Yarrowia lipolytica: one gene and its partner. The protein of the gene in region 1 binds, or shares a complex with, the protein of each later gene. Links are inferred from orthologs where the notes say so. Each region holds a gene or a part of one and is shown in the gene's direction. Other genes may lie near its edges. The genes, in order: YALI1_E31248g and YALI1_E05972g.

Region 1 (18,921 bases):
GTTGAAATGTCCGCCTTTTTTTTTCTGCGGCGTTTCCGAGATGGCTATCGGGGCCGTTTCGGCCGACGAGCCTAGCAGGTGCGAGTCGTATGACGACATGTGTGTGGGGAGTTGTAGAGGGGATGTGTTGTGGCGGTGAAGACCTTGCCGTGAGTACTAAGTTGAGGTGCAGATTTGGTGTACAACATGTACCACCCGATAAGCGAGGGCTCTGGTGCGTTGGCGCGATGTGGCTTGGCAAGGAAAGTAGCTGTAGCTTTTAACGCTTTTTTTTTTTTTTAGCTGGAGAAAATGCGTTGTTTTTGAACGGCTTTCTGGAGGCCAACAGCATACTCTTATACTGACCTCGTCAAGACAGACTCCTCACACAGAGTTCCAAATAGCCTTCCACAAGACATCTAAAGCGAGAACCGGTCAAAAGTCAATAGTACAAGTAACCACAGGTAATGGTGACTCAGAGAGGGGCAGATATATAGAAGGGAAGATTGAGAGGCATGTTTGTATTTTTTGAGGCCATTAGACGTACAGAATCATTCAGGGAGTTGATATCAGACTTGGGGATATCGGGAATAAGACGTTGACTCCATATCTACACACTTCAACCATCCATTGACGTATCCAACATCGTACAGAGTTGGAGCTAGTCAATCTTATCGGGCCAGACAAGGGTTACGACAGAAACTCGTTAGTGGCTTTTCCACAGTGGGAATCTCTATGCGCAGACTGAGATAGTCTTCGGATGTGTAAAGATATACACACTGGCTGCTTCCGCGGAGTATAAGTGAGATATGCGGCTTCCCTTAACTATGGTAATCATGGCCAACTATTCTCAACTAAATGTAAATTATTCAACTAAACCCAAGTAATGTAACGTACATATGAACTGTTATACGGCCATAAAACAACCCAATTCCACATCACCACTCGAATCTCCTCTGACAAGGCATCTAATCCCCGCCCACTCCTCAGAACTCCTCCATCTTACGTGCTGTCCCAAAATTTCACCCTATAGCTCATACATTTCACCCACACCGCATCCAAATGCCTAAACAGGAAGGCTTATCGTGGCTAATCACATGTTTGCAAAAAGCATGCAGAGTTGGGCTGAGAAAAAACACTTCACACTTCATCGTGCGGGCTTACCCAATCGGGAAATTGCATCCGTAAAACTTCTAGAGAATGAATATCACCGAAAAATGCTGGAAAAATAGGGTAAAATTAAAGATTAGGAGAGGTGTAAGAACAGGATATGACTGTTTTTTAAGGTACAAGTAGACGCAAATGTTTGAGTGGGAAAATATTGCCGTCTCAGCTTTGTAATCTTGGCCGTAGCAACTTTTGGCGGTTTAATTATGCTTACCGTTAGTTGTCACAGGTTAAGAGTTAGTCTATTAACTAGATATTTAACTATTCAAAATGAGTAAAATCAACTCCACGAATTTAAAGTCGCGTCCCATTTTTCCCCCTCATATCTCTAGTAATCTCAGACTGCATCATAGAGCCATTAATTATCCCAATTGGGACAGGCGCAACGCGAAACTTTGAGCTGTGTACTAGAAGCGTGTCATAGAGTGAGGGGGGGTTTACAAGACGAAACAAGGCGTTTGAGGGTGACAATATATGGCCATTCGACCTCGAAAACATGCGGAAATTCTTATGTGTACATTTTTCCATTCTAGAACAACTTCAAATTATATATATATATACATGAGGAAATGCAGAAACTTCAGTGTGCTTACATTACCTTGAACTTGTACTTTTGTATTACAGTTTTGGTTGGTGTTTTCTCCAGACCACGCAAACAACCCCTTCATTCTGGTAGTTGAGATCACTTTTTGAGCATTTTAAAGATTTGAATGGTTATTTAAGTGTCAAAATATCCACTTTCAAGCTCCATCTTTATCTCAAATCTCCTCCATTGCTGTGTGAAAAGCACGGTAGAAAAACACCCCTTGGTTGAATAAGGTTGGGTGTACAGCTACACCAATATTTTTACGCGTCTGAATATTGACCCACTATAACTACATCTCAACACCACACTACATAACACCCATGGGTCGACCTTTTAACGGAAACAACACCCATGTGGTGAAACAGCGCAGTGACGAGTTTGAGCGGCGAAGGCTGGAGCGGATCGAGCAGCTGGGTCAAAAGTTTGCCGCAGTCGAACGCCGAGATGCCATAGACGACCGAATGGGTTTTACTCGCTTCTCTGGCGATGAAAAACGAGTCGGGTGGCTGGTCAACATGCACGAGACGTTGCTACAGTCGGAAACGGCCGAGCGGGGCCTGGCAGCGGTGGACTACTACTTCTACGACGAGGAGGGAGGCAACTTCAAGTCGACGGTGGTGTTCCGGCCCTACTTTTTTGTCATTTGCAAGCCTCATACTGAGCATGCGGTGAAGGATCTCATGGAAAAGATGTTTGAGCGGGTGCTCGCAAGCACGGAAATTGTTACAAAGGAAGATTTGAACTTGGTGAGTGATAACAAGCAGCCCTGGATGAGTTGAGTGGCAGACATTGCAATGAGTGGGAGAGATAACGAACTCTCAGCATCTCGCTGATTGCAGTGAGTCCATTACTGCTGAGTGATTCTTACTGCTGTGATTCTTACTGCTGTAATTCTTGCTATTAAGCCGTGTGTGACAATTGGCTAACACAGACAAACCATCTCACAGGAAAGAAACGAAAGGCGGTGAAATTGGAATTTCACAACTCGGAGGATCTGAGCTCGACACGTTTCACGCTCAGCAAGATTGTCGACCGACAGACACAGCAGACAGAGCAGCATCTCAACATTTATGAGCTTGAAGGGTGAGTAAGAGAAAGAGGGGAGAGGCAAGAGAAAGACTGTGTTGAAGTCACGTGGTCAGTCTTCAAACAAGATGTTCAATATTAACCCAGCGATGTGGACACCAGCACAGACGTAGAATCATCCATCACTGGCATCAAGGAATTTGATGTGCCGTTTGAAACCCGAGTGGCCATTGATCTGGACATTCGTGTGGGAAACTGGTACGAGGTCACCAAGGAAAACGACACGGCTGTGCTCAAACACATGGTTGAACGAGAGTACCGAGCCGATCCAGTCGTCATGGCATACGACATTGAGACCGAAAAGGCTCCCCTTCGTTTCCCCGACTCAGCCGTCGACAGAATCATGATGATTTCGTACATGATTGACGGCGAGGGTTTCCTCATCACCAACCGAGAAATGGTGAGTGAAGACATTGAGGACTTTGAGTACACTCCCAAGCCCGAATTCCCCGGTAATTTCACCATTTTCAACGAGCCTAACGAGAAGGCTGTGTTGGAAAAGTGGTTTGAGCACATTCGAGACGTGTGTCCCACGGTGATGACTTCCTACAACGGAGACTTTTTCGACTTCCCATTCATCGACAAACGAACAGCCTTCCATGGAATGAATCTCTACGACGAGATTGGATGGAAAAAGGTGGAGGAAGAGAGATACGAGTGTTCCTATTGTGTGCATATGGACTGTCTCAACTGGGTCAAGCGAGACTCGTACTTGCCTCAGGGTTCTCAGGGTCTCAAGGCTGTGACAAAGGTGAAGCTGAGTTACGATCCCAAGGAGCTCGATCCGGAAAAGATGACTCCTTATGCACGAGACCATCCTCAGATTCTCGCGGAATATTCTGTTTCCGATGCTGTGGCCACCTATTATCTCTACATGAAGTATGTGCATCCGTTCATCTTCTCTCTGTGTTGCATTATTCCCCTCAACCCCGATGCAGTGCTACGAAAAGGTACAGGTACTCTTTGCGAGATGCTCCTCATGGTCAAGGCTTATGAGGGACGCATCATTCTTCCCGACAAGCACAAACCTGCTCTTGAGCGTCATTACAAGGGTCATCTGGTCGATAACGAGACGTACACCGGTGGCCACGTGGAGTCCTTGGCTGCTGGCGTGTTTCGAAGCGACATCATGGTCGATTTCGACATTGATACTAACAGTATCGACGAGCTACTGGTCAATTTAGACGAGACTCTCGAGTTTTGCGTCACTGTTGAGGCTGGAAAGAAATCGTCTGATTTTGAGAACTTGGATGAAGTAAGAGACCAGATCATCGAACAGCTTCAGGAGCTCAAATCCAACCCCAAGCGATCCGATTACCCGCTCATTTACCACGTGGATGTCGCGTCTATGTACCCCAACATCATGACGACCAACCGACTTCAGCCCGACTCCATGGTAGACGAAAAGGACTGTGCTGTTTGTGACTACAACCGTCCCGACAAGACGTGCGCACGTGAACTAGAGTGGGCTCGACGAGTCGACTATTACCCTGTGTCAAAGGGAGATGTCAACAACCTAAAGCAGGGTCTGGTTGAGGAGTACTCCGGAGGTCGTTTCGGAAACGGCTCATCTGTCGAGATCTCGTACGATGAAGGTATGACTGAGCGGGAAAAGTTCCAGAAACGAAAGGGCTGGGCTGGATTGTCTGGTCAGGAGCAGGCTAACAAGCTCAAGGAGCGAGTGGCGGCCTTTTCGCTCAAGACCAAGGCTCGAAAGACGGACTCGGAGACGACTGTGCAAAAGACCATTGTTTGCCAGCGAGAAAACCCCTTCTATGTCGATGTTGTGCAAGAGTTCAAACAGCGTCGAATCGACTACAAGACAAAGGCGAAAAGGTGGAACAAGGAGGCTGCTTCTGCTTCCGATCCTGCGTCTCGAGAGGAGGCCAAGAAGATGGCTATCACCAACGACTCGATGCAGCTGGCCCACAAAGTCATTCTCAACTCCTTCTACGGTTATGTTATGCGAAAGGGTTCTCGATGGTACTCCATGGAGATGGCCGGTGTGACTTGTTACACTGGAGCCAAGATCATCAAGATTGCCCGTCAGACAATGGAAGGTCTTGGTATTCCTCTTGAGCTCGATACAGACGGTATTTGGTGTATGCTGCCCAAGACCTTCCCCGAGAAGTTCAAGTGCAAGTTTAAGGATGGTTCCAGCTACGAGCTTGAGTATCCCTGTTCTATCATGAACTACTTGGTGCACAGAGACTTTACCAACCACCAGTACCAGAAGCTGAATCCCGAGACTGGGAAGTACGACACTCATTCAGAAAACTCCATCTTCTTCGAGCTCGACGGACCCTACAAGTGCATGATGATGCCTACGTCGACTGATAAGGGTAAGGGTCTCAAAAAGCGGTACGTGGTTTTTGACGACCGCAATAAGATTGTCGAGCTTAAGGGCTTCGAGGTCAAGCGACGAGGAGAGCTGTCGTTGATCAAAAAGTTTCAGTCACAGCTGTGGGACACGTTTCTGGAGGGCTCCAATCTCGTCGAGTGTTATGCTGCTCAGGCTCGAGTGGCTGAAGCTTGGCTGGCAGTGATTGACTCTCGCGGCAAGAACCTATCCGACGAAGAGCTCATTGACCTGGTTTGTGAGAACAAGTCCATGTCCAAGCCTGTGCATGAGTACGGCTCTCAGAAGAGTACTGCTCTGACGACTGCCCGTCGTCTAGCGGAGATTATGGGCGACTCCATTCTCACGGGAGGCAAGCTGTCAACCAAGTACATCATTGCGGTTCGAACCAAGAACTCCATGCCTGTTCCTGAGGCTAAGAAGGGTTCCGACGAGGACTCTTCAACTGCTGATCGAGCTATTCCCACTCTGGTTTTCGAAACCGAATCTCTGGACGAAAAGCTGCGGTTCTTGAAACGGTGGATGGGCCCTCGATGGGAATCCACGGACCCCCGAGACGTCATTGACTGGATGTACTATCGAGAACGTCTGGCGACGACTATCAACAAGCTTGTGGTGATTCCTGCCATTCTGTTGGGTCTCAAGAACCCCGTTCGAGGCTGTGATCCCCCCGAATGGGCTTCTGACATCATCAAGCAACGAGATAACCCCATCAAGCAGAGCACCCTGAGCTCTTATTTTGTCAAGGGTAAACTTCCCACTCCTGAGCCCATTCTCAGTGAAGAAGATGAGGTCATGGAGATCCAGGTGGGCGACATTGAAAGCATCGGGACCACTCCTTCTCCTTCCAGACCCCCTGGAGTGCCTGCCCGAGTGGTTGTGTCTAAACGAGTGCGCAAAACTGTTGAGGAAACGGACAAGTCCACTCCCTCTCTTCCTCACAAGGCCCCCGATCCGTTCGCCGACTATGCAGCCTACATTAAGTACGCCAAGGTCAAGTGGAAGCATCAGAAGGCTCAGCGAGACCGAAGAGCCCATCTTTTTGGCGAGTCCGACAATGGCATCGCTTCTTCGTGGGTGTCCAAGAACGCCCACCTGGCTCAAGACGCCTGGCACCTGGTGTCCATCCATGCTGCCGAAAAACCTGGCCAGGTGGAGGCCAGCGTCATCATCGGAGACAAGATGCAACGGGTGCAGATCAATGTGCCGCGCAAGGTGTACGTGGGGTCTCGTGAGCCGCTGAAGTGGGATAAGTTCACTGACGTGACCAATGCCATGGCTGTGGCTGAAGAGGAGCAACCCAAGTACCTCTACCGAGCAGTCATGTCTGAAGACATGTACCAGACGGAGATGACTAACCCGGAGTCTCCGCTGAAGGACCCTCACGTGACGAAAATCTACGAGGCCGACGTGTCGCCTGATTCACGTGCCCTCATTGAGCTTGGATCCACATTCCATCTTGATGCCTCCACTCCTGGTATCCTCTCCAAGGGCTTCACCCATGGCTTTGAGGCCAAATGGTTCAAGTCAGGTGACTCGCGGTCCTACCTGCAAAACTCAGGACTCTCCTACGCTCACATTGTGCACGTGGTTTCTTCTGCCGTGGAGATATTTGTCATCACACCCACCTGGGACGCACCAGCTCTTGTGTTTGTGCACCAGTCGTCTTCCAGTGAAAAGTTACCTGACATCTCGAAGGAGTACGCCCGTCTGCGACGTGGAGAACGGTACAAGCAGAACATGGACGATTGCACCGTCTTTTCCTTCCCCGACACAATGCAGTACGAGGTGGAGTACTGTTCCAACCACCGACGAATGCTGCAGAAGGTGTCCAAGGCGTGTGACTCACTGTCTGGCTCCCGAAACGGCCAGCTGGTGTTTGCACTCCATTCTCCGGACAGAAACGTGGATGAAAAGGTGGCTGCCCTGGCCAGAATCCCCTGTATTCGGCTGAGACCCGTTCCTCCGTCTACTGCTGCTGTTGGATGGCAACGGGATCTGGTTCGACGGCTGATTGCATCGTTCTTGTCACATGGAGCCAACATTTCGTACCTTGTCGAGATGGCTCGGTATGCCAAGATGCCTCTGTGTCATGTGCAAGATACCCGGGACGTGATTGACGTATCATACGCTCGTCGGCTCATCCAGAACAGTGTCGTTTTGTGGTGGTCTGCTGCTCTGTCTACCGGAGGAGCCCTCACTGACCAGGCGGAAGTGCCTGTCGCCAACAATCCTGGACTGTACACCAACATTTGTTTCGAGATCAAAATCGAGCATTTGGTGCTCAACGCCTTGTTGCAGAGTGCTGTGATCCAGGATACTGAGGGAGACATTCACAACGAGCTTCTCTCCAACGCCTTCAACCCCCACGCCCTCAAAACCCTCAAAATGGTGGTCAAGGAGTGGTGGGAGCACGGGGACAAGAAACGGCCTCCCCAGGATCTGCTGGACAACTTCACAGTGTGGGTTTATGCGCCTGAGTCGCGTCTTTTCTCCCCCCAGTTGCTGTACCACACTCAGAACCTGACGAAGAAGACCTTCCTGTATCTTGCTCAAGAGTGTCGAAAGCACCAGGCTCAGTTGGTGTACGCTGATCAACACAAGCTTGTGTTGCAGACAGAGAAGACGGAGCTTCAGCTGGTGTACTCGTACTCCAACTACATTGTTCGGCAGATCAGAACCCATCCCATTCTCAAGTATGTCTCTGTCGACATTACTCGCTACTGGGACACCTTCCTGTGGATGGACAAGTGGAACTACGGGGGCTACTCGTCTGACGTCATTGTTGACCCCTCCAAGCAGAGCGAGTCTCTGTTGATGCATTGGCACATTGCCAACTTCTTGCCTGAGACTCTACAGCAGGAATTTTCCAAGTGGGTCCAGGAGTACATTCATTTGTTGCGGCTGCGGAAATACCCCGAAAACAGAACTACTGATGTTGACGACATGCCCAGTGACACTCCCATGCTCACCGACGGAGACAAGGACGACGCTGCCCTTCTGAGCGACAAGTTCTTTGGCAAGGGTGTGGTTTCTTACCTGCATCCCAAGCTCGTGAGACGGGTCAAGCTGCTGGCTCAAAAGCTATCGGATGTTCTCTCCTCAGGCGACTCCATTGACGCCTTTAAGTTCCCCGTGCTTCCCGGGTCCATGATCCAGCCAGAGACTAATCCCGTGGTCGAGTTCGCCAAGTACGTGTGCCACATTTACGGCATCAACGCCAAGGCCAACTTTGAAGTCCAGATTTTGCTCAGAGACCTTCTTAACATCTTTGATATCAACGAGTTTTCCGAGGAGGGCACGTTCCGAGATCCGTCCATGTCGCTCAAGCTAACCAACATGATGTGTTTCAAGTGCAAGAACCCCTGCGATCTGGACCTATGCAAGGACTCGTGCTGCACCAAATCTGGCTTCAGATGCCCCCTCTGCAACTCGCTCTATGATATGGTCATTGTGGAGCAGCGGCTGGTGGGTCAGCTGCAGCGAATGATTCTCGAGTACGAGACGCAGGACTTCCGCTGCGACAAGTGTCGACGAGTCAAAGAGTATGAGCTCACGGAGTTCTGTCCTTGTTCTGGCTCTTGGGTCACTATCATGTCTGCCGAAGACGTCCACAAGGAGCTGTCCATTTATGATCGGTGCGCTCGGTGGTTCGAGTTGAAGATGCTTGGTTCGTTCCTCAGACAGTTGGGTTATGTTTAGGAGGAGCGTTGTTGAGGAAGACTGACGTGAGGAGATATTTATCTAATGTATGTTTGTACTGTATGGGTGTGTTGTGGAGATAGGAATCGTATCAAGACAGGTGTGTATGAGTATTTGAGATTAGAAGACAAGGGTTACATGAATAGTTGTACTATCTAATTAGAACAAAGTCGTAGTCTTTCCTATACTTGGCTTGAACTTGTCGTGGACGTTGTCCATGTACACTATGTACTGTACTGGTAGTTTGTATGTGTAGATATATCCCTCGTGGAGTGGTATAGAGAACCTGTTACTTTAAAAAGCACAAATAACTATCTTGGAACTGTTCTATAATCTTTGTAACTCGGAAGACTTGTAAACATTGTGGCACTTCTCTACTGCAAATGATGGCAGCACCCATCATTTACTGAGAACAATACTATGACAAGGGTGAGTGGCAGCTATGTCAATCTTTCCAGACTTTCACACCCTATTTGAGCAATATAATATATATATATATATACTATATATATATATTTCCTCTACTTGCACTCATACAAATATGTCTGGATTAATGCAGATCTATTTCCATTGGCGAAGTTTAGCCCTCTTTGAAACGATATTATGGGATCTGCTCAGTTGGCGGGCCCACCTAAACGGAAACGGGCATTTGTGGCATTGTCGCTACTTGATCTGACCTACTAGTGCTTCAACTTTTCTACCATGCTCTCGTGTTACAGCTTCACGGTATTGTACCACAGCTCGTACTCCCCATATCCCTCACACTACTCACTCTTCACCCACTACACCTTGTACTTCTCTTATTTGTACTACAAGTACTCATACTCGTCAAGCCCGAGCAGTTCATGCTTCGCACCTTTTACTGGCGTCAGTTCTATCAATATCTTTATTAAACGACAACTTTGCTACCTCCTAGCATTGTTGCTATGCACCATTGGAAGATTCCAACACATCCTCGCGCACTTGTGAACCACTCCTTACGTGGTCCACAGCTTTGCAGTTCCGTCAGCAGCGGCTGAAAACAACCAAGCCTCCCGGGGATGCCACTCAACCCGCAGAATACCCAGACCGCTCTTGACATCGTGGCCCTTGAGCACCTTGAGAGGCACCAGCAGAGGGTTGGTCATCATGTCGTCGTAGACGGTGCCGTGGAAAATGTTAATATTACCGTCGTCAGAAGCGGAGCAGAACAACGGCAGACCACCCTTGTGGAATGCTGCGTGCCGCACGGCCTTTTCGTGGTATCGCAGGGTCTTGTAGGGCTTATCACTGAGGTCGAGATCGTGCCACAGAAGCCGTTTGTCGAACGACGACAGGATCACGTTATCACCACGGGGATGAATGTCCAGAGAAGACACCCATCTAGCACCGGGCATAAGCTTCTTGGCCATGACCTGCTTGGCCAGATCGTAAATACGCACGTATCGCTGGGTGGCAACGTACAGATGAGGTCGGAAGGGATGGAACATGGCGTCCTGCACAATACCCTTGGACTTATTGAAAGGCGACTGTGACGAATGCTTAGAGATCTGGTGGATGGCCACGGCTCTGTGCTGCGCCGAGGGGGCCACAGTGACCAGATAGTCTCCCTTTCGGTGCCATGCGAGTCGCTTGATGGTTTTGGTGGCGGTAATGATGGCTCCAATACCAGAGGCCTGCTGCTTGGCGGTGGGGGTGATCCACTTGGCAGGAGGGCTCTTCTTCTTGACGTGACCGGTCTCGTCGTCCGAGTCGGAGTCAGCATCGTCATCCAGACCCTTGGTATCGATATCCTGCTGCTCTCGTCCTCCCTCGGCAAAACCCCATCCCTGCTCAATCTTCTCTCGGCCGGTGTTCTCGATATCAAAGTCAAACAGCGTGGGAGGCACAATCAGGAAAATATGCTCACCAGCAGAGGCAGCCAGCATGCCAGGGACAGCGGGGTTCCACTGCACACACTCGACTGAGTCATCCTGAGCATCAATGGACGCCACCAGACGACATCGGTACAGCTCTCGACCAGTGAGCACTTCCCAAACTCGAAGAGTTCCGTCGTCGCCTCCAGTGGCAAGGAACTCTCCACTGGGATCCACAGAGATGGCTCGAACCTTGCCCTTGTGGCCCTTGTAGGTGGTAGCACATCTGATGGGGAAAGGCATGAGATCCTTGGGGGAGGGGAGATCGGGAATCAGAGAGTCGGGATCAATGTTGAGCTTGTTCTTTCGCACTCGAGGAGCCAGGTAGAGATCCAAAGACCGCTCGAAACGCTCTCGAACAGACTCGGAGTAGCCGGGCACATGTCGCAGAGCAGTGTACTTCTTGGGCACGTAGTTTCGCTCTCTCTCGGAAGGAGCAAGAGCATTCCACTCGGCAATCTCCTCTTCGGTGGGCAGATACTCGGCAGGGGGGTTGTAGGACTCGTCGTGGGTGGGAGGGGGCATTTTGGGGGCTCGCAGAGTCATGACGTGGTCCTGGACGTCCGTGAGGTTGTCGGCCCACACGTCGTAGTTGGGTCGGGCGTCAGGGTCCTCCTTGGGCTTTGTCAGCAGTTTACCCTGTCTAATGGCCTGCACCATCTTCATGACTCGCTTGGCCTCGTGCTTGGAGGGAATGAATCGTCTCTTGGGCTCGGGCGCAGCAGACAGAGGCATGATCTCTGTCTTGGAAGAGAACCACTCCACCAGGTCCTCGTAGGGATTGGAGGCGTCATCGGTGGTCTCATTCTTCTGAATCCGCTTGATGAGTTCCAGTTCCTCCTTGGAAATGTTGAGACCCTTTCCGGTGCTCTTGTCTAGCAGGCCGGTCCATCCCTCGGGCAAATCAATCGTCTCCAGTAGGTTGTCCAGAGCAGAACCGGTAGCGGGTCGCATGATTCGCTTACCGTTGATGTCATATCCAATGTGAGGCATCTGGTCGTAGGCAGACAGGGGCACGTTTCCAATGGTATTGGATTCCTCCTGGTCCGAATCGTCCGAGTCGTAGACAGCATGGATTTCCTTCTTGATCATTCGAGGCTTGCCGTCGGCTCCAGGCACAATTTCAACCACGTCCTTGAGCTCATCAGTCTGGTCGGAAGATCGAGACAGAGATCGCAGACGAACTCCGTCATCCAAATGCTTTAGAATCGAGGGGTCGACCTCGTCGTCTCCAGCATCAGAAAAGTAAGCCAGCTCGTCTTCCAGCTCGCTTCCAGACAGATCCTCCTCTTCACCGATGAGTGCCTCAAGCTCGGCGTCAGAGTCACTTTCATCGTCGGCATCTTCTTCGTTTTCAGTCTTGCTGGTGTTCTTCTTGTCCTTTGTCACATTTTCTTGTGCCACTTCCTGCTCAGCTTCATCCTCGTCGTCGGAGTCGCCCTCATCAATGAGTCCCTCGACATCGAACTCGTCTTGCACGTCGACAGGCTCGTCGACTTTGCGCTTCAAATCCTTCTTAACGGAGTTGGAACGACTTCGTACCATTTTTGTGTGCTGTGCGAAAAGTTGCAAATCCAATTTAAAAAAAATTGTCTACTATGCATGTCCAAAGTTAAAGTCAGGTTATGACGAGGAGGAGAAGTGGACATCACCTATACTTGGTTTACGCGGTGAAGTTTGTACTCCACATTAATATCTGAGCCAACACCATTCTTATGATCTGCTCAGATTTTACACATCTCACCAACAACCCCTCTTTTGAAGGGTCCCACAAACGTCACATCTCCACAATAAAATTCCATGCAACTCTGTAACCTCACTTACCTTACAAAGGAGATATATATGTCATCCATAACCAAACATTGAGAGTAGGTAGGTGGTATAAAAACAATACAAGCTTGGCTTCTTGTGATATGATCTCCATATAAAATATCCCATTTTTTCACTCGTGCATAGGTCATATCACACGCCCCAATGCCCCACAACAAAACCACTAGACTGTGCTTAACTACAGTAGACTTCCAACAACGTATACTTGATCTGAAAGCTATATGAGGATTACGGCGTTCTCAAATTGTTCATCCGATTATAATATTGACTGACCAATTTCCTAGGCCATCCTGTCTTACGCCTCAACTTCGATATGGATCCCACTTGCACACCACTTCTTCATCACCACCTCACCCGTACGTCAAACTCTACAAGCGAGGTTCTGTCAGCACAATAAAAACGCTTTGAGGGGCTGCACAATCTTGGTGTCGTCATGACCTCGGATGATTTTGGTGAGAAGTGACTGGGTTGTTTTCTTGGTTGAAGAAATGTAAGAGTAGCTACTTGTACTGTTTGCCCTTTGAAGACTATTGACACACAAAACTCCAGTGCAAGTTCCCATCAGGGGAAAAAAAAGATTGCAGCACCCAGGATTCTCGTATGGGTCTCCCCACTACAATACCTAACTAGGCTCTCCTGGTGCTTGGACTATGGCTGATCGGACGGGAAGGCCGTATTTTTTCCCACCAGGATAATGGCCGCAACCGTTATTCAATAAATTTGGTTGGACCTATATGATGGGAAAGATATATCACGTGACATAATGAATCATTAGAATAAAAAAAAAAACGTGAATCATTAGAATAAAAAAAACCCTGCCTCGCAGCGCACACCGAAACGATTTATGATTTATTTAACGCCAATAACCCGGCTTACTACAAGTACATACTGTAGGTATATAGCTGTAGTGAAGAAGAAAAAAAAATTAGAATAAGCTGTAAGCCGGGTTATTGGCGTTCAATAAATCATACACTTCTGAATCATTGCGGTGTGCGCTGAGAGGCGCACGTCAGTTGGTTTGTCGACGCTTCGTCTCGTTCTTGTCTTTGTCGTGGTCTCGTGGTATTGTTTTGTTTTGTTGTATTCTAATGATTCATCACCGTTTTTTTTTTTTTTCTAATGATTCGGCTTAGTCATCTGAGTTCTGTTGTTTGCGTCCCAAGAAAATAAATATTATGTTCGAAATGGCATCCTGGCCGAGCGGTTAAGGCGAGAGATTAGAAATCTCTTGGGGTTTCCCCGCGTAGGTTCGAATCCTGCGGATGTCGCCATCTTTTTGCCCTTCCGTGGAAGAGCTTATTTTTTTGAGAGCAATTGCGACACACTCGGGGTTGCTATGATTGCCACCAGGCACCGTATAAACTGTGTTCAACCACAATTGAGACATTTCAGGCTCCTGTATATATTTCAGATTACTCAGCCAGTTCGAAGGCAAACTCAATTCAACACTCATATACATGATAAACCACATACTCATATCTCATGCACTCTACCCCAACACATTACACAACATCATGCCCACACTCCACTGCCTTGCCGACCTTTGCCTCATTCCTGTGAGTTACGCCGATACTATCAATTAATGTACCCCGAAATATGACTAACACAGATTGGAACAGGCAACGCCTCAGTTTCTGAGTACGTGACCGACGTGGTTCGAGTCATCAAGGCATCAGGTCTGCACTACGTCCTCCACAGTGCCGGCACCACCATCGGTGAGTATACATACGCTTCACAGACAAGTCACACAGAGAGTGGATCATACACAGTCACACACCACACGCAGTTTTGTGGGGACACAAAGGCATGTCGTGCGATACAGACGCCAATCACACCAACCTTGTCACTCGTTGACATGAGCTAACCACAGAAGGACCCTGGGATGAGGTGTGTGCCACCATCGGAAAGGCACACGAAGCCCTGCACGAGAAGGGCGTCGTTCGAATCCAGAGCGATATCCGAATCGGAACACGAACCGACAAGGATCAATCTCCCCAGGACAAAATCGACGCTGTTATGCGACACTTGAGTAAGGACGAGGAGAAGAAATAGTCACGTGACTTACATCACCTACAAGCAATGCCCACCGTCCCATACGTCAATGTGCACGTCTTTCCATAGCTGAATGCATTCTTTCCACATACCAACATGGCTATACCCTAACCGCTAACAGAGCTGCAACAGTGTTAACAGGAGCATACCCTAACCACTATCAGTACCCTAACCACTAACAGATTTTACTGTTAGCATTGTTAGCAAACGCGTTGCATTCCGTACGTTGCAGGCGTGTAGCAGTGGCTGGCTACAAGTACTTGTAGGAGGAGTGTAGAGGAGTTTTTTTTTTTGTTGACAACCGAGATATTCCGATTGGTGATCAAGTTACCAGTAGAAATACCCGTGATTACAGACGTGATTTACCAGGGTGAAGCTGCAACATCAAACTACTAATCTATATGGATGCATCAATTCCCATCAGTCTTACTACAAGTAGTACTTCTACGATAACAATGAAACATACGCGTCACGTTCTACACCCTGCTCTTCACGTCACGTCTTATTACGTCCCTTATGCTCATGTATGGCGCCAAACTAAGGGAGTATGTTGGACGTGTATACAACGTGCAGCAGCACACACGTAGATGATCAATTAATGCACAGAACGCGTTTGGGGCTGGATATTGAGGAGTAGAGCGGAACAACTATGCAAGTGTACCGAGGGGATGAAAATACCAGGAAGACAACGATAGGTGAGCTGTAATTGTGAAGTACAAACAGTGTTGGTGATTAAATGGAGTATTATTTGTCCCCTATTACGTTTCGGCTGGTGTGTTATGGTGTAATCACAGTACACATACTGTAGCTACAGAACGATAGTGAGATACGGACGCATATTTACCCCAGAACACGAACCAAAACAAACAGTGAAGTCCGATTATCAGCTACCTCTGGGCCGACAAAGCACCACAGTATCGTACATTCCTCGAGCCATACAATACAATCAAATCGATCCGATAGCAGATTCATTAAATACTATACACGAGGCAGTGCCTCATAACCCGTTAACCAATAAACATAATAAAAAGATGACAATCAGGCGCGCGCTTAGTTGTCAAAGGTAGAGTACTTGGCAACAGCTCGAGTACCGTCACCAGTGGCGTGCTTGGCGAGCTCACCGGGGAGAATGAGTCGGACAGCGGTCTGGATCTCTCGAGAAGTGATGGTGGACTTCTTGGTGTAGGTGGCCAGCTTGGAGGCCTCGGTGGCGACTCGCTCAAAGATGTCGTTGACAAAGGAGTTCATGATAGACATGGCTCGGGTGGAGATACCAGTGTCAGGGTGGGTCTGCTTCAGCACCTTGTAGATGTAAGAAGAGTAAGTCTCCTTTCGGGCCTTAGTTCGCTTCTTCTTCTCGCCGGTGGCGGTGGTGGTCTTCTTGCCAGCCTCCTTCTTCTCAGCAGGGGCCTTTCCGGCAGGGGCCTTTCCGGCAAGGGAGGGCTTCTTCTCAGCAACTTTAGGGGCCATTGTGTTCTGTGTGTGTTGGTTGAAAGTGTGTAACTTTTATCTCGATTTGAGGCGGATGATAAAGGTGTGTATCGAAAGAAGGTGATGTGATGGGGAGGGGGGGTTATTTATAATAACTTTTGTCCTGTGAATGGATTTGTGCACGATGTGGGTTAGACTCGACGTGCGTGGCCATGGTGTATGCACAATTGGGAGTTTTGGGCGTGCTAGCCAGGTGACTTTGGATAGAACCTTAATCGCTAACAGCCGTTCTCTGATATGCAGAGGAGTGTAAATTTTACAGCACGACGCACAAACTCCCAACGCGAGCACAATAGGCTCCATTTCTCCCAAATTACAGCGCCACGCATACTATGGCATTTAGAGCTGCATCAAAAGTATTCCCACCACTGTCCCAAATAGGAAATGACGAGACAAAGAAACCTGATAGCAGTTGATAGCAACACCACGCATCAACACGTAACACACAGACTCCTGGCGGTAACCCCCTCCCAACATTACATTCCACGTGCACCAAACAGGAAATAACATTGAACCCCCAAGCTACCGTGCGCCACCCTTCCTCACGCCCCCCAAACTTATATATACCTGCTCGTGTCCCCCTCTTTCTACCCTTTTCATTCCACAACCAATTCAAGTGCACAATCTGCGAAATAAAATCACTTTTATTTCCACTCCTCACTAACACTTTTATCTAACAACAACAACAACACACAATGTCTTCCGGTGGAAAGTCCGGTGGCAAGGCCGCCTCCTCTTCTAAGACCTCCAAGTCTCGATCCGCTAAGGCCGATCTTACCTTCCCCGTTGGTCGAGTCCACCGACTCCTGCGAAAGGGAAACTACGCCCAGCGAATTGGTGCTGGTGCCCCCATCTACCTCGCTGCCGTCCTTGAGTACCTCGCCGTCGAGATTCTCGAGCTGTCCGGTAACGCTGCCCGAGACAACAAGAAGAGTCGTATCGTTCCCCGACATCTGCAGCTCGCCATCCGAAACGATGAGGAGCTGAACAAGCTGCTTGGCCACGTCACCATTGCTCAGGGTGGTGTTCTCCCCAACATCCACCAGAACCTTCTGCCCCGAAAGTCCGCCAAGGGCGCCAAGGGTGCTTCTCAGGAGCTCTAAGTCTCTTGAAGGCTTTATATTTTATCTATTGGGTTTTGGGTTGTTTTAATGTCCATTAAAACTGTTTACAGTGTACTATAATGAATGACATGTATTGTATTTTATCTTGATTTGTAGAGATGAGGATCAATTGGCTGGATACAGATTTATCTTGTACCCTACATACCTCGTTGCAATTCTATTGAATTTATTTGATTTTTGCCCAATTAGTCAATCTCGCTTATACCTTCTCAGACCATCGTCACTTTCCAGGAGTTGGGAGGCTTCATACATGCCCCATGCATCTCGTTAATCAGAGTTTTAGAGAGTTACAAATATTAAGGTTTTAACTGGGGTTGGGAGTTTGCTCGAAATACTTTTCTCTAGAGCGTGTCAAAATCGACCTCAAAAAGAGAACGCTTTTCACCATTCGGAGAAGATGTCACCCATTGAAAATAGTGGAATGTTTTCGGACTCAAATAAGGTTGTAGCATGAGGCATTTTGCCACCCAACAAAACAAACATCCGGAAATAGACAAAACAGCCGAACGTATTGCGCGATTTAGCACTAGCACGTTATTTTCTCGACGATCGATATTACCTGGCTGCTATGTTGTTTAGTAGTGCTCAATTATGTTTGAGGTTCAAGCATGTTTTCCGGTGATGATTATTTCCACAGATATAGAGGGTCAGTATTTTCGGGCGCCACGTGATATCAATGTCAGGTGATTGGGACATTTCGCGCCAACCATATTTCCCGAAAAGGAAGGGATTAGTAAACAAATGATAATTTCCTCCTGAAGTGTAATATCCGCCGACTTACGTAACTTGGAGTGACATTACATTATACACAATGAGAACTTTCGAATTACTGCACATGTCGTCACAACGAATCATCTAACATTCATTCCATTGTGAGACGATGTGGGTTCGAAACCGTTCAGAGGGCGGGCAGCCGGTTCCTTACTGGGTCAATTTCGTTAGCTGATCTGGCCATATACTGCAGCGCACTTGTATGTACCTGTAGTTATTTTTCATGACGGCTTTCGAGGTTCGTACAAGTACTCGTACCGGTACTTTTTGGTCTTACTCACGTTTTCCATTGGTCTCATCTTGACAAATCTTAACTCGTTTAAAGCACAAGAATGTGCAATTATTCTGTTTCGCTAAACGTGCAAATTGTCCATTTTATTAAATATTGTGAGGATGTGGAGATACTAATTTTAACTTCTGAGTGGACGAATAAGGTATCAATTAGTTTAAATCGTACCTGTAGCTGACGTAATCGCTGAAGAGTGGTTTCGTGGCTGCTGCCTACTTGTAGTATGCTCTATCAAATACCCATAGAGGGGATGGAAGACTTAATGCTGAGTGCTCCAAGTAGGAGCTGTGAGTCTCGTTGTCGGAACATGTCTCTTTCAAGCGTCATCAATAATAAAGACTTAACTTCCCTAGTTTAGTATGTACGAACTTGTACACTCGTATGTACTATTATAGTCCATTAACATATAGGACCGTCCACTACCAGGTATGCCCTTTTCGTGTCAAATTGTATGTTTTTAAAAAGGGCTGCCATGGAATGGGATATTCGAGTGTACTGTGGAAGTTTTCACTCCCACTGCCAAAGTATGTTTTTAGTGTCGTTTCCGATGCCACCTTTTTCACTCTCTTGCATTGTTAACTTGGAAATAT
Region 2 (13,638 bases), about 2.5 Mb from region 1:
TACCTCGAGGGATACCTCGACGGAAACACTTACCTTACTGTCGATGGTGGTATCACTTGGAGGGAAATTAAAAAGGGAGCGTACATGTGGGAGTACGGAGACCAGGGTTCTATTCTGGTTATTGTTGACGGAGAGGAGCCCACCAACGAGGTATTCTTCTCTCTCGATGAGGGTGTCACCTGGAACCCCTACAGATTCTCTGAGGATCTTGTCAAGGTTGATGATATTTCCACCGTGCCCAACGATAACTCTCGACGATTCCTGCTTACTGGTAAGTCTCCCCGGTCTAAGGGAGAGCAGTCTACCACCGTTCACATTGACTTCTCTGGCCTCTCTGACCGACAGTGCAAGCTGGACGAGTCCAATCCTGACCGAGATGACTACGAGCTGTGGTCTCCCAGAAACCCCACTCAGCAGAGCAACTGTCTGTTTGGCCACGAGACTCAGTACTACCGAAAGCTGGTCGACTCCAAGTGCTACATTGGCAGACAGCTCATCCAACCACACAAGGTTGTCCAGGACTGTGAGTGCACTCGAGAGGACTTTGAGTGTGATTTCAACTACGTCCGAGACCGAGACGGAACTTGTAAGCTTGTCAAGGGTGCCAGTCCCCCTGATCACGCCCTCCAATGCAAGGAGAACCCCAACCTCGTTGAGTACTACGAGTCTACCGGCTACCGACGAATCCCCCTGTCCACTTGTAAGGGTGGCCAGGAGCTCGACAAGGCTGATGCAATTCCTTGCCCTGGTAAGAAGGGCGAGTTCAGCAAGAAGCATGGTGGTGGACTTGGTGTCATCGGCACATTCTTCGTCATTATTGTTCCTATTGCCATGGCTTGTGTCATTGGATTCATGATCTTCCAGCACTACCAGTCCAAGTTTGGTGTCATTCGACTGGGCGATGAGGACTCGTTTTCCTCCAGCTCCAGCAACCCTGTCGTCCAGCAGGCTCTTAAGGGCCTGGCTTACGTTGTTGCAGGTATCACCATGATCCCCGAGGCTCTCAAGGGCGTCGGCGAGTTCGCTCGAGGCATTTTCGGCCACTCTGGAAGTAGCAACCGACCGTGGTCAAGAGACTACGCACCTGTTGATATCAACGAGGACGACGAGCTGCTTGGAGATGACATTGAGAGCGATGCCGAAGAGGTTATCTAAGCTCCACATATGTATAAGATTAATGATTAATGAGGTGAGTATGTATTGTGTCGTGTAGCTCTAGAAGCAATCTACTACTCTTATGTGCGTGTACTTTCACCAGGATCGTTGAGACATCGCACAGTACAAGTAATTGTTACTTGTGTGTTTGTTTACATGTGCCGTGGTGATTGTGGTACATCTCAAAACTTTCGGAAATACCGAGTATATTCAACTTTTTTCGTCAGTAACTGTTGGTCAGTAGCAGACTTGTCGACATCGCTGTGTCGAGTCGCTGGAGGGGTCCGCTGTGATTTTCACTGGATCAAAGCGAGCCATTGCCTAATGGCCAACCAGAGTGAGAATTTGAGCAATGTTGATGCAGTGCTCTCTACTTCGCTGTAAGAATATTTCATCTCGGATTCATCCAAATCTCCACCCATTATCAATCTATGCATTAGTCTATTTCTTGGCTCTTCGTCGTCGCTGGGCAAGCTCTGGTAGCTTAAGCGGAGCCTTGAGCGAGGCAATCTTCCAGTGGCTAGCCTCGGTTCGAGGTCGTCCGATATCATCCATGTGAGTCAGAGAGGCGTTCTTAATGGCGCATCCCACCTGTCTGCAAACGTCAGCAAGCTTGGAAGGCTTGATTCCAACCTCCTGCGACAGAATGGGAATGTCTACAACGTTGTTGTTGAGTCTCAGCACAAGAATAATGATAGTACACAGCAACATTGCCTCATTTCTGGAGTTGACCATGTAAGTGTGGTACCGTTGTGATTTGTGACCACCAGAAAGGGGAGTGGTGTACCGGTAGAGCATCTGGTCGATGAGGTACTCTGGGGGGTTGTTGAGTCTGGTTTTGATATCCTCCCGCTTCTTGACGTGACGATCTCGGTAGAATCCAATCAGCAGAGACAGATAATAGAGAAGAGAGGTCTTGTACATGGTCTCGTCGGTCTTGTCGGTGATCTTGTAGAGACTGTCTCGCACCATTTGTGAGGTTCGGTAAGGAAGCATGTCCACTCGCTTGCCGATATCCTGCTCGTCCAGAATGGCCTCGCTTCGAATGTACCCAGCCTCCTCGTCGGTGAGGTATCCCTCAACAGGATAGATCTCGTTGACATCCAGAGTCTCGAGGTTATGCTTAGGGATGGGTCGGGCATCATCCATTGCCATGGACACCTGCTCTTGAGTGGGTAGGTTGGCAGTGGCAGTAGCGACAGCCTCCACGACATCGTCCTCAAAGTCAACAAGCTCGTTGGAATCAATGTTGTTTCGGGCCAAACTGGCAAGGGTCTTCTTTGCCTTGAGAGTTCCAAACTCGTTACCCAGGTTGACTCGCTGTTCTCTGTAGGACTTCTGCTCGGTGTTCTCAGCGACTCTCTTGGCTAGTTGCTTGGACATGGCCTTCAGCTCAATGCTTTCGGCGGGGACCAGATCAGCCAAGCCCTTAGAGGAAATTACGGCAACGCAGTACTTCTCGTGGTCCACAGGCACACTGGTGTATCGCATTCGGGAGCTTTTTCCCTTGATGGAGGTCTCTCCATTGTCAGACACGGACGAGAACTTGGCGTCCTTAGGGATGGACAAATGACCGCAGTCAGAAAGAAACACCTTTCCATCGTCCTGAACCTTAGCGACCTTGATTTTCGTCAGCCGCTTGCTCGAAGCCTTTCTCTTTTTGTCGCTGGCCATGCTGGTGTGTATGTATCGTGGGTTTGAATAAAGATATTTTCGAGCACCAGATTTTTTCAGGCTTTGCAGATGAGCTGCAGGGTTAGGTTATTGTGCTGATAGAGGAATCGCGAAGACTGCGGATGTAGGACTTATTCAAGGAAAGCAGATTGTAAATGGTAACTATTTGACAATAGCATTGGACAACTGTATCATTTTCAATTCCTCTGATATTGTGATGATCTGGCTACACTATCTATAAATTTTGCCTCACAAAATTAGAGTTCACTATTAAGAAATTTATGTGGACCTCGACATCCCACTATGAACAATTACTGTGTATACAAGTTTTCAAGTCGTTCGACTTCAGTACATGTACGGGTCTTGACTGATTCCCGCCGTTCCAGTATTCTACCTCGAATTCGTCTTTGTCGTATAAAATATCTCTCGTGGCTCGTCCAAATGATGAAGTACGTGCTTAATAATCTCGCTACCTTCATGAATTACTGCAACAGTACAGTACAAGTACAAGTACTGTACTGTACTTGTATTGTATTATGTAATCCCGATTTTTCTGAATGGTCCTGCTCATTGTTTCCAGCCCCACTTTCATTGCCACTATTCTCAGCCCCTTATAGTACACTCTCACATTCGTACAAACCGGTACATACTCTACCAGACTTTGTATGTACGAATACAGTAGTACCTTGCACTTGTATGTATGTGTTCTCGTACTCGTATCGTAGGTCATGTGACATTCTCTGTGTGTGTGTCTTACTACATGCTATTACCCCCTCTCTACCGTACATGGCCCACCCACATATCTCCGTATAACAGGACAACGGACCGTGAAGCACCTGACACAGCTCATATGACACAGCTCATATCCCAGAAGAGGACTCCGTCCACAGGGTCATCGTGGGCATCGGCCCCCTTGTGGTTTCTTTGTCCTTCTTACAGTAGTGCCAATAATATCCCTACACATGTAACCTTGGTCTTCACGTTAGTGGTATGAAAGAATGAAAGCAAAAGCTGGGGAAATGTGGTAAAAAAATACTAGAACGAGTGACCTGTTTTTGGTGCTTGTAGAGTCGAAAATATTATACTTATCTTAATAGTCACGTTACGCGCGGCCGGCACACGTATCATATCTCCGTACATCTTTGTACATCTCTCAAGCGGGTACACTTTATCACGTACCAAGGTCATGCGGAAGGATGGTCACACAGCAAGAGGTAAATCTCAATGCAGAACCGTGAGTGCTAAAAAATACTACCACAACAAAACAAGAGCGCGAACGCATGGTGCAGAAGTGACAGTTTTGCTTTTCTCCGACAAGCACGATTTTCTTCTTGTGCAGGTACCTACACCTTCTCTCTTTTGCTATAAATGGCTTGATTGCGCTATTCTCATCCTTACACACACACACACACACACACACACACACACACATACACACATACCGACGATGTTGCTACAAGCGTTTGTTTCTGTTTTAGCACTTCCAGGGTCTCTAGCGCTTCCGCTATTCGATCAGAAGCCTCTGTTGCTGGCACCATACGCGAGACCAAACGTGACACTCATTGACGCCCAGAAATTCGAGTTGTGGCTCGCTCAGCAGACTCATCACGCCTTTGAGTCTGTCCTCGACAATGTGGGACACCAAGGTAGCAACAACGGTCTTCCCGTAGGCGTTGTTATCGCTAGTCCCTCTAAAACGGCCCCTGACTACTATTACCAATGGACTCGGGATGCTGCCATCACCATGGACTCAGTTGTGCGGCGGTTCTATGACCAGGCTAGTCAAGGTATACTGAACGACACACTCAGCAACATCATCATGGGATACATTGAGACTCAAGGCATGTTGCAGCACGTCAGCAATCCCTCCGGGTACTTTGACTGGAACAGACGTGTTGTTAGTGGTTTGGGAGAGCCTAAATTTGAGACTGACGGCTCAGCATTCACAGGGCACTGGGGTAGACCTCAGAATGATGGACCTGCACTCAGAATTAAAACGATCTCGCATTATATTCAAACCCAGGTGGAGTGGAATGAAACAGCTTCTCTCGACGACTATGTGTATATCTACAAGTCTATGATCCTACCCGATGTCGAGTACATTCTACAGTATTGGGATCAGCCGACTTTTGATCTCTGGGAGGAACTGGAGGGCTACCATCTCTTCACTTCTCAAGTGCAGTTCAACGCTCTCATTAACGTCGTGGAACTTGCAAGACATTACTCAGATCGAGAGACCGAAAGCAGATGTACATTCACTGCTGGATCGATTCGACAATTCATCAAGACACATTTCGAGGCTGGTTCTCGGCTGAATGCACAATTTGAGCCCAGAAGTTTTGGAAGGTCGGGCCTTGATTCCTCCATATTCTTGGCCGCTCTTGACTCGGTTAGATGGGAGTCTAGCATAGCTGCAGGTACATCTCTCAAGCCCTACGACGATCTTCTCATTGCTACTATCATGCCTTATGTGCACTCCTTCGACTACCCTATTAATCATCAACGATTAGCTGAGTTCGAGGAGTCTTTCCAGGATGAAAATCCTGGGTACGTCGCCGTTGGTGTTGGTCGTTATGCTGAGGACGTCTACGATGGAGTGGGAACCTCTCATGGCAATCCTTGGTTCATCTGTACCGCTACCATTGCAGAGACCATATTCTTCATTGCTCACCACTTGGCCCAGCAGTCGTCTGATTTTGTTCTTGAGATCAATAGTCTCACCAAGGAGTTTTATGGTACGTTTGTGTCTTCTGACCGCATTGCTAGAGACTCCGAAGAGTATCAGCATCTGTTGGACCGTCTCGTTGACCTCGGTGACTCGTTCTTGGATGTCATCAGAGAGCATCAGGCTAACAATGGAGATATGTCGGAGCAATTCAATAGATACGATGGGTTCATGCAAGGAGCTGAGAAGCTGACATGGAGCTACGGCAGTTTCTGGTCTGCTGTTAGAGCTCGCCAGGAAGTTATCAAAGGGACCAGTGGGAGGAAATGAATTGTTAACAGCGGGGGCTGTCTCATTGCTACAATGGTAGCCGGTGGACATTACGAGTCCGCCTAAGAGAAGATGTGACTAGACGATGATATTTATTTATTAAATGCACAAATGAATGAGACTGCAATGCACAAGTACCACCTTGTGTATCAAATTCATGTGTTTATCGTCATTACTACAAGTAGGCGGTTGCAGAGAAACCTCATGTATTATCAGCACTGTAGTATACTCGTACAAATAATTCGTCGTCTAGACTCGTTACTCATTACTACGCTATATACAATTAATCCTCAAAGTCCTTCTTTCCAACGGGCACTTCCAGTCCGACTCTTCGGGCAGAAAGTCGCACTCTCTCCTGATCGGCCATATCCACTCCAGGGTTGTATCGGGCCAGCAGGTCCTTGTAAACTCGCTGGTTCTCCAGAAACAGCAGCATGTCCTCGGCGTGCTGGATCTGTTCGGCCTCTCCGGTTCCGTTTGTGAAGTACTCTCTGAGAGCAGTACTGTTGTAATGTGAAGTTCGGGGTGTGGGCAGCTTCTCAATGGCCTTGGGTGTAGTTTTCTTCTGGATCGCCTCGTACTTCGCCTTGGCTTCGTTTCGCTGGTTCTCACCGTTGATGTGGACGGTCATTGCAGCGACATACTGCTTTGACAGCTCTCGATAGAGCGATCTGTAAAGGTTTAGGGACTTCGACATATTGTTGATGCCGTTGATCTGATCAGGATCACGATTTTGATAGTGCTACTTGTAGTTTGATTCTGCCCTGATATCGCGAGTTCAATTTGGGCTGTTGTACCCGTGGTTTTTGTTTAAGGTTTGGATTCTGTGTGCGCGTTCGATTCTCATCTGCGTCATCGACACTTAGAATTGTGGAAATGTGCTAACCATATCCGCTAGCGCAGACGTTGTTCCCAAGATCAAAGCTAGTTCACCGGCTCCCCAAACTCCCACTAATATCCATTATCCGGGTCGCTCCGGATCGTGTTTCGGTGCAAGGTTTTTCCTACTTTTGGCCAATGGGCACTGCACACACGCAGACTTCGAAGTCAAAGAAGAAGTCAAAGCTGGATGGGAGCAAAGAGAGGAGCCAAGGGTGCAAGTATGACGAGACAAAAGAACGCGGTTATTGGAGCAACCGTGAGTATGAGACACCGTTGGACGTCTCAATTGGCATCGTTAGTCAATTTGAACGTTCCGGTCGACCTCCACCGATTATTTCGACACCCCTTAAGCCCCCATTCATATCCCCCCTGCTCGGAGCTAAGCGGATAAAAGCCTCTATGGTCGGGTACCCGGACGGATGTTGTTTTTCCGATTTGCATGGAGATATGTGGGAGAAACGTGTACATGTAAATGAATGTAACAATGTAAATTTTTTGGCGGAGTATGGTGCAGCTGACAGGGTACAGATGGAGCCGCAGGAAAAAGTTTTCCAAGTAGTATATGGCCTAGGAATATCGAATGGCTCGCCACGAGCCCAGTGTGACGTGCCAGACACTCTTTTTAATGCCCCTGGCGCAGCTCTCTTCTTCAAGCTTGTCTCCTTCGAAATAGAGGTTTCGCTCTGACGCCGTGTTTAAACCTCGCCGTCCTTAATTTCGTAAAAGCTTTTTTTGCATCCTCCCACATAAAACTCTCTCTCTCTCTCTTCTTTAACTAGGACACCTTTTGGCAACATCTTGTCGTCTAATCGAAAACATATCCACATCCACAATGCTTCGAACCGCCTACCTGGCTAAGGTGAGTACTCCGGGCGAGTCAATGGAGGTGACTCAAGGTGCAATGGAAGCACCGCTCCATGGCACAGCGATGCGCGCTACATGACCGACGACATCTGTGTACAACCCATAACATTTTCTCGGAAACAACAACAGCATCACAGACAGAGACTCGGGGCAGGGGAAGACGCCATTGAGACCAATGGCTAGTGTATGTCGCAACTCCGGCGCCGATTGCTCCACAGTCTCCTACTTTGGTCCTGTCCACGTCACCACCACCCCCGGAACATCTATGCGTGTATTTATTTTCCCTCCACTATTTTTTTTCCTGCATGTGCTACGGAGAAAAATAGTAGCGGGCAGTAGCACACTGTGTGGGGACAGGGGAATGGAGAACAATTGAGGCGATGCGGATACGAAGACACCTGTTTACGTTGTTGTCGCACGCCGCTGCTGTTGCTGGTGTGTTTTGTGTTAATTGCCGCACACCACAATAACTATCATCGACACCAAAACATTAGGATAACATACTAACCCAGGCCGCCTCGGCTCTCCCCAAGCGAACCCTCGCTACCAACGCTCGAACCATGTTCCAGCCCAAGGAGTACGGATCCAAGTACACCGTCACCCTCATCCCCGGTGATGGTATCGGTAACGAGATTACTGACGCTGTCAAGACCATCTTCAAGACTATCTCCGTCCCCATTGACTGGGAGGTTGTCAATGTCACCGGTGTTGGCGAGAACCATCTCGACGGCTACGAGGAGGCCATTCGATCCATCAACCGAAACAAGGTTGCCATCAAGGGTATCCTCCACACCCCCGTTGAGAAGCACGGTCACACTTCTTTCAACGTTGCCCTGCGACGAGAGCTCGACATTTTTGCTTCTCTCGTTCTCATCAAGAACATCCCCGGTGTCCAGACCCGACTCGACGGCATTGACATGGCTCTGATCCGAGAGAACACTGAGGGTGAGTACTCCGGTCTGGAGCACTCCCCTGTCCCCGGTGTTGTTGAGTCCATCAAGGTCATCACCAAGCGAAAGTCCGAGCGAATTGCCCGATTTGCCTTTGACTTTGCTCTCAAGAACAACCGACACAAGGTCACTGCCATCCACAAGGCCAACATTATGAAGCTTGCCGATGGTCTGTTCCGAAACACCTGTAAGGAGGTCTCCGCCGAGTACCCCGAGATCCAGTACGGCGACATGATTGTCGACAACGCCTCCATGCAGGCCGTCTCTTGGCCCCAGCAGTTTGACGTTCTCGTCACCCCTAACCTTTACGGAACCATTCTGTCTAACATTGGTGCCGGTCTTGTTGGAGGCCCCGGTCTCGTCCCTGGTGTCAACCTGGGTACCGAGCACGCCGTTTTCGAGCCCGGTTGCCGACACGTCGGTCTTGACATTAAGGGCCGAGGTACCGCTAACCCCACCGCCATGATTCTGTCTTCCGCCATGCTTCTGCGACACCTCAACCTCGATGACTTCGCTGACGTCATCTCCAAGGCTACCTACGACGTTCTTGCTGAGGGCCAGGTCCGAACCCCCGATCTTGGCGGCAACTCCACTACTGACGAGTTCACCATGGCTGTTATCAACAAGCTCCAGTAATTATGTATGATTTAGATGATATTATGACATTGAACGAATTATTGATGAGTAGTGGGTGTGATGGATTTAGTGTGGATGTACACGGTTCTTGTAATAATGTGCCATGCTGTATAACAATCGCCTTTCCGCAGCTGTATCTATGGGTATGATTAACTCTGATGATCCGGAGATAAACTAATCTTAACCACTGTACGATACATATACTGTAAGATGGCACCCTGTGGTTTAACCCTTGTAGCAATGTGTTTAAGCAAGGGAATATTGTGATAGAGAAGTGTATTTGAAGTATGTGGCTGGTACGGTACTTGTACGAGTGTGTTTGTGTATTCTAAAGATGGACATTCCACATATTCGCTGGTCAAGGTGTTTTGTTTGAGGATTCAGTGAGGCATATTTCTTCACTGGGTGTGATGGAGTTGGGTAAGGTTATAGGTTTTTACCAGAACTTGTACTTGTAGAAATACTGAACAACTATATCACCGTGATAAAGAGTGCATAAGAAGGTGCGTTGAACATGATGTTTCGGCGCGCAAAATCGAGAATTTCAAGTTTTTTGGTCGGTACTTGCGATAAGATGAGTCCAACTAAAATGTTAGATTTTCAATACCGCTCAAATTGCGTGTTTATGAGACTTCTTGAAGCCGTGATTCTCCCAGCTTCTCCGAACTCTACAAGGTTCATACCGAGATTTGGTGATGAGTGGCAATAGGAGTGCAGCGGTTCATTGAGGGCGAAATATCAGAAGAATGAGAAGATGTAGTTATTTCAACAGTGCACAATGATATTATATGCTCACGGGACTCTGAAAAGCCTTTGAACGCCATATTTCAGCCCAATCACACTCGCCCCTCTCTGGAAAATAAACTCGACACGTGATACCCTTTTCCACCTGGGAGTGAAAAGTATTCGTTGTTGCTCAAGACAATCACACACATCAGTCACCCAAATCACAACACAAGATGGATCAATTGAACAACCGAGAACAGCAGGAGTTCCAGCAGCTCGTCGAGCAGAAGCAGATGAAGGATTTCATGCGAGTGAGTATTCCAAATTTCTTGATGACAACCACGACAACAGAACAGAACACAACACCACACCACACATACTAACCCAGCTCTACTCCTCTCTCGTCCAGCGATGCTTCACTGACTGTGTCAACGACTTCACCTCCAAGGCTCTGTCTTCCCGAGAAGAGTCTTGTCTCGAGAAGTGCTCCGAGAAGTTCCTCAAGCACTCTGAACGAGTCGGCCAGAGATTCCAGGAACAGAACGCTGCTCTTATGCAGAAGAGATAAAATGTACATATTAATTGATCCCTGTTCGAGTTACTAGATGAGGCGGTGCAACCCCAATGATTGTGTTTGATGTTGCCCTTGTTGTACTTTGATATTGTATTTATTCTGCATCACTATCATCATCTGCCCGGAGTCTGATCATACTGGACTGTGCCACTCATAGCTGCACCACTTTAGTTGCAACTGCAAACATGGTGTTATACATTTGTAATCATTATCAATCGTAATTATGTTCTACTCCCCACCTGCTCCCCGAAACAAGGTCAAGAGAGCATCAGTCTCCTGCTGCATCTCTCGAGCCCACAGGTTTACATCAGAGTCCCAAGGGTTGTACATGATGGCGTTGGCAAACATCTTGGCGACCTCACGTTCAAGCTCAGAAGTGGATGAAATACGTCCGTCCTTGACCTGGGCCTTGATGGTCCGGATGTCCGTCGGCGAAAAGATCAACTCGTAGTAGTTGGGCGCACTGTTGGGATTGACAGGGTGTGTGAAGAAAGACGCAGATTTGTTGGATGAGATGTTCGAGAGCAGATTGCCAGCCACGTTCTGAAACTTGCGGTTGGCCGAAGGGGCAGCAGAGGTGTTTCGGCGCGACCGCTTTCGCGAATCAGAGTCTTCAGTGGTAGATCGTGCTCGCTTTCGAGTCCGTTCCTCGGATCCAGGAGTAGCTCCTGCCTCTGGAGTTTCCGTCACCCGGTCTAATTCGCTCTCATCGGGTTCTTCTGTCTCTCCACGGTCGGTCTCCACGTCGGCAGTCGTTTCCTTGTCGGACCCCGACTCCTCAGCCTCCCTCGCGTCCGACTCGACATCTGCCTCTGCACCATCAGCCTGCTCCTCTTCATCCTTGTAATTCTGCTCTTCAGCCTCAGCCTCAGCCTCAGCCTCAGCCTCAGCCTCAGCCTCAGCCTCTACTGTCTTCTTTTCGGTCTCGACCTCAGTGTCCTTTTCTTCCTCCTTGACCTTTACTGACTCCACATCAGCCTCTGTAGTCTCAACTTCAGCCTGCTCCTTCTTACTGCTGTTTTCGTTCTCCTTCAATTCCTCCACAGCGTCAGTCATCTCTACGTCCTCGTCGTCAGATTTCGTCATTGATTGCTGAGCTTTTGAGGCCTCTTCCTGCTCTTTGCTAGCTTCTAGTGCCTCCCGTCTGGCCTGTTGTTCTTTTTCCTGTTGTTCCTTTTGTAGTCTCTCCTTCTCTAGTCTTTCCTTCTCTAATCGCTCAGTTTCGGCCTTAATCTTTTTATCCCGCTCCATCTCCTTCAGATGCTTGAATTTCACCTCGTCGGCTTTCAGACCAGCCACCGTCTCGTTGTACAAAACATGTCTGAATCCATCCACCAACTTGGCCAAACTGCTCAGAGCGAGTTCCTTTTCTGCAATTTTCGTCGATGAGATCATCTGACGCCACCACTTTTGACAATGGGCGGCAGTTAGCGAGGAAGGGCCTCCTGTCATGCTGAGAATGTCGGGTTGAATCAATGGGTGTTTGGGAACTTGTGTTGCCATGTACTCGGCGATAGGTTGGGGGATATCTGGTAACACGACTACCGATTTGACGCTGTTGTCGATCGCGTACTTGTAGAGAGTCTGTGCGTATATCAGGTTGGCCAGAGACGTCATTATGATGGCTGGGTTGAGGTGGATAATGACTGTTTTGGTGGAGATGATATTTATCCCACGTAGAGTTGCGCTGGGACATGCATATTCAGAGGTTCGAAAAAGTAGACGAGGTTGAGAGCCACTAAAGGGGTGATACAATGAGATTCTGAAGCAAAAATTCACTCGGTATATAGTAAACAGTCTTATACAAAGATTACGCTTACACCCATCTCGTCAGCCACTCCCTTTATTCACCTAACCATCTCTCTCTACCTTTTTTAGAGCTCTTCTCCCTTCTCCACACCCAAACTCAAATGCGCGTCTACAGTGCGTGCTAAATTAAGAGATCCACTCACTGTGTACTTGACAACCATTGACATGAACGTGACCAACATATTTCTGGACCACTTACGACAAAACGACCATGTGGAATCCGTGCCTCAGATGATCCAGACCCCATCGGGAATGGCCATTGTGGAAATCCAGGGAGAAGTGGTCAGTAAGGCACATTTGCAGGAGGGATCAAGACGCGTTGGATCCATTGAATTTGAAGAGAAAAAAGCCACTCTGGTGATTGACGGGAAACAGCGAATGCGAGGATCGATAAAGAAGCTCGACAAGCCTCTGGGGCTGCTCAAAATGGACCCCGAAAACCGGCATCAGGTAGATCTCATTGAGATTGTCACCCACAAGGTCTCCTTCACAGACATTCCCGAGCCTGTTGGAGCGGAGGAGTAGAACCCATACACTGTCGAGTTATGAAAGGTCTGCTCGGCTGTAAAGAAAGGATGTGCTCTACTACAGCACATACGCCCCAGTTGCCAGCATTCAGTGCATTAAAGAATGCTCGACAAGATACACCAACAGTCTCTTCTTGACTCACTGTGAACCGCCTCAAAAAAAACAGCATCAAATCAACATATTTATAGGTAATAAAAATGCATTGTAACGACATGGCTGTAAGTATTAAAATAATTGATTGGAATCCGATTCTTGTATTTGCTTATGACTACTGGCGGCTATTGAAGGCACAACAGCACTCTTTAAAACACCCTCATGATGCGAATGCGCACGGAAACGATCTTTTACGCTCCTCCAGTCTTCAAGAAGTGATTCCTGGAGCTACATTGTTCGAAATCCTCGCCTATGACCCATATGACCTTCGGTTAGCTACACAAGTCTTTTTTTCCCGTTGTCACTATCAAAAGCCTAATTGCATGCATCTCACGATAACCACAGTGGTGCCTCGACAAGCAGTGATTGACATTCTTCTCAACCACCAACATGCACTCTCACCACTCGCACTCGGGACAGTACGTCCAACACGCTAAGGATAGTCTTGAAGAATGTGTCCAGGCAGCCAAGGACAAGAAATTCGACGTTTTCTGTCTCACAGAACATATGCCTCGATCCAGGGAGACCGATCTGTATCCTGAGGAGATTGAGTCCAAAACTACTCCTGTTGATCTCGCTAAGGTCTTTGACGATTATGTGAAACATGCTCGACAGCTACAGAAGGATAACACTTCCAACACAGAGATTCTGGTGGGCTTTGAGTGTGAGTCTATCCGAGCCGAGTGCTGGGA

Evidence for each region.
Region 2: the proteins of YALI1_E31248g (region 1) and YALI1_E05972g are in contact, whole or in part, in a cryo-EM structure (PDB 6S2F), measured with the Saccharomyces cerevisiae proteins. The link is inferred for Yarrowia lipolytica from reciprocal best matches to the Saccharomyces cerevisiae genes POL2 and CTF8. Residues at the interface, in NP_014137.1 of Saccharomyces cerevisiae: Arg1025, Met1036, Leu1037, Glu1038, Glu1040, Asp1041; in NP_012061.3 of Saccharomyces cerevisiae: Glu40, Lys87, Gln88, Arg128, Leu130, Pro131, Met133.

What each region holds. Positions count from the first base shown.
Region 1 is NC_090774.1:3,122,815-3,141,735, forward strand, and holds YALI1_E31248g (uncharacterized protein), read left to right. Parts: upstream 1-2,052; coding exon 2,053-2,478; intron 2,479-2,663; coding exon 2,664-2,815; intron 2,816-2,905; coding exon 2,906-8,879; downstream 8,880-18,921. Other genes in the region: YALI1_E31229g (uncharacterized protein), read right to left, coding at 1-99; YALI1_E31351g (uncharacterized protein), read right to left, coding at 9,857-12,319; YALI1_E31369g (uncharacterized protein), read left to right, coding at 14,119-14,160, 14,214-14,319, 14,475-14,656; YALI1_E31389g (uncharacterized protein), read right to left, coding at 15,707-16,126; YALI1_E31396g (uncharacterized protein), read left to right, coding at 16,843-17,250. UniProt on the Saccharomyces cerevisiae protein: Catalytic component of the DNA polymerase epsilon complex which participates in chromosomal DNA replication.
Region 2 is NC_090774.1:596,033-609,670, reverse strand, and holds YALI1_E05972g (uncharacterized protein), read left to right. Parts: upstream 1-12,430; coding exon 12,431-12,790; downstream 12,791-13,638. Other genes in the region: YALI1_E06109g (uncharacterized protein), read left to right, coding at 1-1,155; YALI1_E06068g (uncharacterized protein), read right to left, coding at 1,597-2,829; YALI1_E06065g (uncharacterized protein), read left to right, coding at 3,133-3,642; YALI1_E06056g (uncharacterized protein), read left to right, coding at 4,016-5,824; YALI1_E06031g (uncharacterized protein), read right to left, coding at 6,108-6,521; YALI1_E06028g (uncharacterized protein), read left to right, coding at 6,842-7,393; YALI1_E06015g (uncharacterized protein), read left to right, coding at 7,539-7,565, 8,083-9,156; YALI1_E05994g (uncharacterized protein), read left to right, coding at 10,116-10,193, 10,271-10,450; YALI1_E05975g (uncharacterized protein), read right to left, coding at 10,685-12,073; YALI1_E05963g (uncharacterized protein), read left to right, coding at 13,337-13,638. UniProt on the Saccharomyces cerevisiae protein: Essential for the fidelity of chromosome transmission. Required for the DNA replication block checkpoint.